Mus musculus: one gene and its partner. The protein of the gene in region 2 purifies or fractionates together with the protein of the main gene of each other region. This does not show direct contact. Links are inferred from orthologs where the notes say so. Each region holds a gene or a part of one and is shown on either strand. Other genes may lie near its edges.

Region 1 (4,407 bases), on a different chromosome or scaffold from region 2:
TGCTGCCTTATCCTTCCTCCACCCATTCAAAATATACTTTCTCCCAGCTAATACTTCCTCTGTAATTATGGTGGATTCATAATATTCTATGTCAGCTTCTTTCATCGCAGCAGTGATTCTAAGTATGTGGCTTTTTAAAAAAGACTTATTTATTTTATGTGAATACACGGTCTCTCTCTCTTCAGACACACCAGAAGAGGGCATCAGATCCCCATTACAAATGGTTGTGAGCCACCATGTGGTTGCTGGGACTTGAACTCAGGACCTCTGGAAGAGCAGTCAGTGCTCTTAACCACTGAACCACCTCTCCAGCCTTAAGTATGTGGCTTTATACAGAGATGAATCTCCAGTGCCTAGGACACAGTGGCTGCTCAGTAAAGGTTACTAAACAAAGAACTCTGCCCAGCTCTGCTGTCCTGAACAAGAGAATGGCCAAAAAAACCACGAGAGCTTTGCTAGGATATTTTTTCTCAGTTGGATTTGAGTCCCTGGATTCTTTAAACTTGCCAGAAAGGCAAGTAAATGTTGATGGATGGAAGCTCAGGTCTGTTAGTCAATCCAATTGCTGTGTCTATAATTGATCCTGTCTATGGTCCAAATTACAGCTCAGACAGAGCTAAGGGGGCTTGCAGCTTTTTGTCCTGAGTGTAGGTACACTTCATCAGATGGATAACCCCCCCCCCCCCCCAGGAAGCCTTCTGGATTAACACCAGGCAACCCTTTCCACAAGCACACCCCTGTCTGGCATTTGATGTGCTTATCTAATAAGCTTCGGGTATATGCATGTGTTCACTTAACGCGTAGGTGTGTACATTTATGTTCGAGTTGTGTAAGTGGGTGCCTGTGCGTGTGAGCCCATATGTGTGTTCCTGCCTATAAGAACGCTCACATCCTCCGTTCTGGATCTCTAGCTGTCACCAGGGTCGCCTTCAGTGGGAGGAAAGCTGAAAGCTCTTGTTTCGACGGGGAGGGGTGGGGTTGTCAGGTTGTGCCTACTCACTGACCCGGGAACCAGCATCCACCCGCTGCAGCCGTCTAGTCCCTGGATCTGGGCGGCCCAAACTCGCGGGGTCCCCAAGGTGACCCGTGGCCCCCAGCCCGGGAAGCGCGCACGCTGGATTCCCGCCCCGCCCGCCTGTCCGTCGCCGCTCACCGTGGGCCGCGACGCACGTGGGCAGCCAGAGCACGAGACAGCACCAGCCCGCGGCGCCACGGCTCATCTCCAGGGCCCGTCCCGCCGCCGCCGCCGCCGCCGTCCCGCCGCGATCCCTCGCCCGACTTTAGCCTGACAGCTGCCACGGCCTCCCTCAGGCCCGCTCTCCGCGCCGGTTGGAGCACAGAACGGAGGCCAGCGGCTGATTGGCCGCCACGCCTGTTCGTGTGGCCGCACTTTCCTCCTCTGCGCCCTAGGCCACTTCCTATTGGCCAGGAGAAGTGGAACCGGGCGCTGATTGGCCAAAACTCTTAATAGCAACTGCAGTTCGCGGCCCCGCCCCCGCACTCCTCCTTATAGACGCGCCTCCCGGAACCTGCGGTGGGCGGCTCGCGGGGTTGCGCGGGATCCACGGCTCTCCTCCCCAGGCAGAGACGGGCCTCGCGCGAAGGGGCAGGCGGCACGGCGCCGCCTCGGCCGATAAGGGGCGCTACAGAGCTAGAAGCCGACCCGAGCAAATTTCCTGCGCCCGAGCGGGCCGCGCACCTGTGACCCGGGACACTGTTCCCAACTTCCCAAGCTACCTGTGAAACTCACGGAGCTCCCTCGCCACGGAGCTGAGCAGGTGCAGTGAGATCACTCACCTAAGGTGCTTCTCCTAGCCGGTGTTCAGTACTGATAGCTCATTGCACGTCTACCATGGCGTCTGGGAGCGCGGGCTGAGGCGGGACCTTACCGCACCTTACAAACCAAAAGCACTGCGAGACTCGATGACCCCCGCCAAAGCTAACGCGAGTTCCTAGAGCGTCCCTGGACCTCCGACTCCTCTAGCCGGCTACCTCGGGAGCTAACCATAGAGTGGCGGAAGTGGTCCGGCCCCTTCCTCTCCCGGGCTAACGTCTCGCCAGAAGCTTCTGGGCATTTCTCCGGCGCGGAGCATTGTGGGCTTGGGTGGGCGGCCCCGAGGCGGACAACTGACGAGTTGCGGGTACCTGAAGCCGCTTCCAAGATGATGGTGAGTGTCTCTCCGCGCATCCGCTGCCATCCACGACCCTGCGGCCCTGGCCCGCCATGCGGAGTGTCTACAGTGGCTCGTTTCCGCTCCCCGGCCGGAGGCGGCCTTGATCCAAAACTGAAGCTGTTGGCGAGAGCCGAATGGGGCTCGCGATGCCGCTGGGCCTGGAAACCATGGATCTCATGGTGCTTGGGACCACAGACCTCTTGTTCAGCCTGTTCCCCGTAATGGAGGCTTGGGTTTTCGGAACCGAGTGTGTGTTGAGCTCTGTACCTCTACCATAAGGCCGGGTTACATCGCCCTGGGAGGTGCGGAAGTGAAGGCGCGAGCTTCTAGGCGCACAGAGGCAGCGTGAGGGTCTTTAGGTTGGGCCAAGTGACGCCCTGCCTGGCATTGTGGTCGTTTACGTTCCCGCATGTGGAAAGACAGAATCCTTCGTTCCTGTTGGAACCTGTTCGTTGGGGGCATTTTTAGTTCTCCCGAATGTACTTGGTGCTGGAAAAGGGCAATTGATGTACACAGTACCAAAGATGGGACGACCTGAGTACTTTAGGCAGGAGAGTCTCTTAAAGGTCTGCCTGTAATCCTCCTGCATCACCCTTTATCCCCGACAGCGTCAGATACCTCCCCTGTTCCCCTGTGATAAACCTGAGTTGTTAGTGAGCAATGTCAACTTCCAAGACAGAATCCTGTGCGTTTGGCATCAGCACACTCGTTAAGTTTTGCTTTTTAGTGTCAATCCTTTGTCTGCCTTTTGCAGCTTCTTCCTATGCGTAGATGCCAGACAGACTTGGAAACCTGTAAGGTCCTCCCTCTGCTACCAAATTACAGCTTCTCCTCCGAAGGAGTCCCTACAGAAGCATGTCCATGCTCCCTGACCCCTAGCGCTTGAAATTGATTTGGTCGGCGAAGACCAGAGCTGAGGCATAAATCCATGAGTCATATGTGCTGCAGTAAAATATGCATCATTGCTGCTGATATGACCAGTGGCCCAGCATTGGCCAAAACAAGTAGCAAACCTTTTATCAAAGGGTCCCAGACCATCACATTTGGGTTTTACCTAAATTGATGATTCTTGTTTCTGCTGCTGTGCTGCATACTTACAGCTTATGAGCTGCTGGTGACTCTTGTTTCCTCCCATCTTGCTGTAGCAGTTCTGGGATTACAGATATATACCACAATGACAGACTTGTAATGAGTTCTGGTGCTTAGGCTTATGCATCTAGCAGCTTTACCCCTGAGCCACTTCCAGGGCCTCCTCCAACTAATTGTTTAATAGATAGTATTGACTTTTGTTTTATTTAGTGTATGTGGGTGTTATGACTACTGTGTGCCTGGTTACTATGTACATGTAATGCCCATGGAGGTGTCAGATCTCTGGAACTAGAGTTACAGATGTGGTGACCCACCTTGTGGATGCTAGGAGTGGAGGGAACCCCAGTTCTGGAAGAGCAGCCAGTGTTGTAAGAGATTCTTCCAGTCAGTCCCTTAAACGATCTAAGGAAAATGGAGAGGAAGATTAAGACGAAACACTAAAGCCTTTTATGGTTCTAAGGGTACTAAGCCCTTGTGAAGGAACAAGAAGAGTGAGGTGGAAAGTAAGGAATGGTTCTAGGCAGTACTATTGCCAAAGAATGGCAGAAGGGGACCTACCTTGTAACCATAGCTTGGCTTACTGTACTGCTGCCAGCCTTATTTTCCCTGTGGCTGGCCTTGATATCACAGCAGTCCTCCTGCCTCCACCTCCCAAGCACGCACTGGGATCATAGCTGTGCACAGCCATGCCTGGCTTTAGATCAGTGGTTCTCAACCTTCCTAATACTGAAACCCTTTTATATAGTTCCTTGTGTTGTGGTGACCCCCAACCATAAAATCATTGCATTGTTGCTTCATGACTAATTTTCTGTTGTTATGAGTTGTAACATAAATACCAGTGTCTCCATGCCTGTTAAAGGGCCATTTGACTCTAAAAGTGTCACAACACACAGGCTGAGAACCACCGCTCTTGACTGTCCTAAGGTTTGTTCCAGAAGGACCATGAGACTGTGGGACCTTTGGGAAAGCATTTTCCTTCTAGATGGAACTAAGGAGTGCCCCCCAAAATGCTGAGAGTATAGAGAAGCCCTTTCTTGTCACGAGACCCTGGATACTCTGGGAAAAGGAAGGTATTTACTCTTCAGTATATGCCTGACACTGATAGAGGGGAGTTTCCTGACCAGCATTCTTTTCTCGTATGCCA
Region 2 (3,607 bases):
CACCCTAGCAGGGGGGCCTCTCAATCACTGAATGTGTTGGGGGATGAGGAACCAGGGAAGGGAGAGGCTCAAGGGAGGCAGGGTCAGGCGAGGAGCTGAAGCCTCCTTCACCCCTCCAGGGTGAGGTCCCCTTGCTGCCTTAGCTCATACGGACCCCTCATCCCCACCCCACCACACAGAGAGCTGCTGTTACCCTTCATCTGACAGCTGAAGAACTGCAGCATAGAGGGCTTAAAATAGCTCGCCAAGGGCAGGCCAGGGACAGCCTGGTGCACACAGGTGTCACAAAACCAAACTGTCCCACCAGGGCACACCAGAGTCAGCCATCATTCTGCCCACTGCAGAGAGAAAGGAGCTCAGAGGTCCTGGCTTTTCTCCATTAGTCTGTCTCTCCCTCTCTTCCTGCTGACCTTTTTCACGACTAGGGCTCATGGGAAGAGGAGGCGAAAACGTGGAAGGATTTTCAAATAGATCCTAACTCAAGACAGAGACGGGGACCTAAAAATAGGCACTTTCAAAACGAGCAGAAAACCCGAAGCTGTGCTTGGCTGGGCCATCTTCACTCGTTCCCAGCTGTGATCTTGTGTTGTCATAGAAACTTGACTTGTCTGCTAGAAAAGTGGTCCCAGTATTTATGGCAGGTTCAGCACTCAGCTTTTGGAGGTCTCCACCAAGAGGGGGTACATAGGAACTCTGCTACCCAAACTGGGGTGGGAGCCACCGTGAGAAGCAGGGTTAAGACCTGACTAATGAGGATGGATAGAGGCTCAGCATTGGCATCTGACCTCAGCGGGGTGAATGGTGGCCACTTTGTGGAAACATGGGGAGACCCATGGTCTCACAAGTATGAGGACCTAAATTTAGTTCCCCAGAACCCACATGAAAATACGAGTGCCTGTGATCCCACTTTTGGGGAGGGTGGGGACAGGAAGATCTCCAAGGCTTGCTAGCCTAACTGGTGAGATCCAGGACAATGAGAGGCCCTGCCTCAAAGAGGGTGGGCAGTGTTTCTGAGGATGATACTAAGCTTGTCCCTTGTCCCTTGTGTGTGCATGTTCACACACATGTTTGCACACCTGCATATACACCTGCAAACCCTCGTCCACACACACAAATCTCTGGGCACACATCTGCATACCCTTTGTATACAATGCATACACTTTAGCACATATCCACATACACCCTGTATATACACACCTATGTACAAAAATACCCAGGTACACATGCATACACACCTGCACACATTTATATCCCTGTATACATACAAACTTGCACAAACACACACACACCTATACAAAACTGTGCACACACCTCTCTGTGCACATGCACACACACACACACACACACACACACACACATACACACTTCCCAATCTCCCACCTTCTGCTTGCATACATATACCCCCTGCATGTACCCATACCCTCCCTGTACCATACTGTCTTAGTCAGGGTTTCTATTCCTGCACAAACATCAGGACCAAGAAGCAAGTTGGGGAGGAAAGAGTTTATTTGGCTTACACTTCCATACTGTTGTTCATCACCAAGGAAATCAGGACTGGAACTCAAGCAGGTCAGAAAGCAGGAGCTGATGCAGAGGCCATGGAGGGATGTTCTTTACTGCCTTGCTTCCCCTGGCTTGCTCAGCCTGCTCTCTTATAGAACCAAGATTACCAGCCCAGAGATGGTCCCACCTACAAGAGGCCTTTCCCCCTTGATCACTAATTGAGAAATGCCTTACAGCTGGATCTCATGGAGGCATTTCCTCAACTGAAGCTCCTTTCTCTGTGATAACTCCAGCTGTGTCAAGTTGACACAAAACTAGCCAGTACACATACCTACACACACACACACACACACACACACACACACACACACTTTGATACCCACTACTTGCACACACATACCCCTGCATATACCCACACTCTCTCTGTGTACATGCCTACACACACACCTGTGGAACATACACACTTGCACACACATACCTGCACATACCTCTACACACACATACACACACACACACACACACACACACACACACTTTCCAATCTCCCACCTTCTGCTTGCATACATATACCCCCTGCATGTACCCACACCCTCCCTGTACCATACCTACACACACATACACATACACACACACACACATCCCTGTACACACATGTACACGGTATCAGTAGTTTCCTTTGCTGATGCTGATGGTACACATATTGCAACACGTGTTCAGCCCCTTCTCACGCCTGCCTCCCTCTTCCATGGGCACTCCTTCGGCTCAGTCTGCCTTTGGGTTTCCCTGCAGAGTAAGAACGCACCTCACAGCCAGGGTGAGTACGATGTATACAGCACCTTCCAGAGCCACGAGCCGGAGTTTGACTACCTGAAGAGCCTGGAGATAGAGGAGAAAATCAACAAGATCAAATGGCTCCCGCAGCAGAACGCCGCGCACTCGCTGCTGTCCACCAATGGTGAGGCCCCGCGGGTGTGGCTGTCCTGACTCACTCAGCCTTCCAGGTTTCTCTGTGGTTTTAGTGACAACCAGGCCACCCTTCAGCTTTCCCTGACTGGTCACAAATCTCCCACCCTTGTAGATATAATGGGCATGGAGGGCTCCAAGGTGGAGACGAGATTGAATACTTCAAACACCAAGGACACCAGCTTTACTGCTCATTTCTACCCTGTCCTCACAGAAGGCTGCACCCCTATTGAGGGCCCCATTTGAAAGCAGTTTTCCCTCTAGCTTCTTCCCATGTTCACAGCGTTGTTGGTTTTGACTGCGGATGTTATCGGGGATCCTCTGGGGAAGCCAGGTGTGTGGGGGAGAGACCAAGAGAGGAGAGAGGGGGAGGTGGAGATGGAGAGGACCTGTGATTCTGACCCCTGCGATTGTGAGGCCAGAAGCTCACAGCTCAAGCCTGGAGGGCGTGTGCTGGCAGAATCCCCTCCTCCCAAGGAGGTAGGCTTTCATTCTGTCAGCGCCTTCAGCCAATGATATGAGGTCTACCATCTCCTGATGGCAGGTTATCTGCTTATGGATTTAAATTTTAATTAATTCTAAAGGATCCTTCATAAAAGAGCCAGTGTGTTCTGAACAATGTCTGTGTCACAGCCAAGGTGAGCCATAAAATTATCGCCACTGATTCTTCCTCCTGTGACGTCCAAGGAAGGAGTACGGGGGAGAGGCTCCGGGAGCTGGCTTCTGGGTGGCAAGTACCACTGAATTAGGAATGGCAGAGTGGCCACCTTCTTCTCAGGAAGGGACAGTGGTACATGCTCAGTGTAGAGGTCAGTAGTGACCCTTGCAAGGGGCATGCTTTTTGACCTAGTAACATCCCCTGCCAGTGAGTAGAAGATGCAGCAGAAACAGATTGCCCATATTCAGAGGTATTCTACACAAGGCACAGTGAGGGGGGAGAGGGACATGGATGGTCATTTCCAGGGTGGTGGCCCCAGGACACACATCACTGTCCCTCTAGCTAGAGTGGGTATTCTCTTCCTGGCCTGGCTGTTGACAGAATACCTTGTTCTTCCCTGATCTGTCCTTAAAGATAAAACTATCAAATTATGGAAGATTACCGAACGAGACAAGAGGCCCGAGGGCTACAACCTGAAGGATG

What was found. Proteins that work in one complex are often made in the same cells at the same time.
Region 1: the proteins of Ppp2r2c (region 2) and Cct7 purify together in Homo sapiens (affinity purification with mass spectrometry; 4 studies listed by BioGRID and IntAct, counting the BioPlex papers as one, with this or other methods). This does not show direct contact. The link is inferred for Mus musculus from reciprocal best matches to the Homo sapiens genes PPP2R2C and CCT7.

What each region holds. Positions count from the first base shown.
Region 1 is NC_000072.6:85,449,960-85,454,366, forward strand, and holds the start of Cct7 (T-complex protein 1 subunit eta), read left to right. Parts: upstream 1-1,545; 5' UTR 1,546-2,162; coding exon 2,163-2,168; intron 2,169-4,407. Other genes in the region: Pradc1 (protease-associated domain-containing protein 1 isoform b precursor), read right to left, coding at 1,154-1,220. UniProt on the Homo sapiens protein: Component of the chaperonin-containing T-complex (TRiC), a molecular chaperone complex that assists the folding of actin, tubulin and other proteins upon ATP hydrolysis.
Region 2 is NC_000071.6:36,923,993-36,927,599, forward strand, and holds part of Ppp2r2c (serine/threonine-protein phosphatase 2A 55 kDa regulatory subunit B gamma isoform), read left to right. Parts: intron 1-2,292; coding exon 2,293-2,458; intron 2,459-3,538; coding exon 3,539-3,607. UniProt on the Homo sapiens protein: The B regulatory subunit might modulate substrate selectivity and catalytic activity, and might also direct the localization of the catalytic enzyme to a particular subcellular compartment.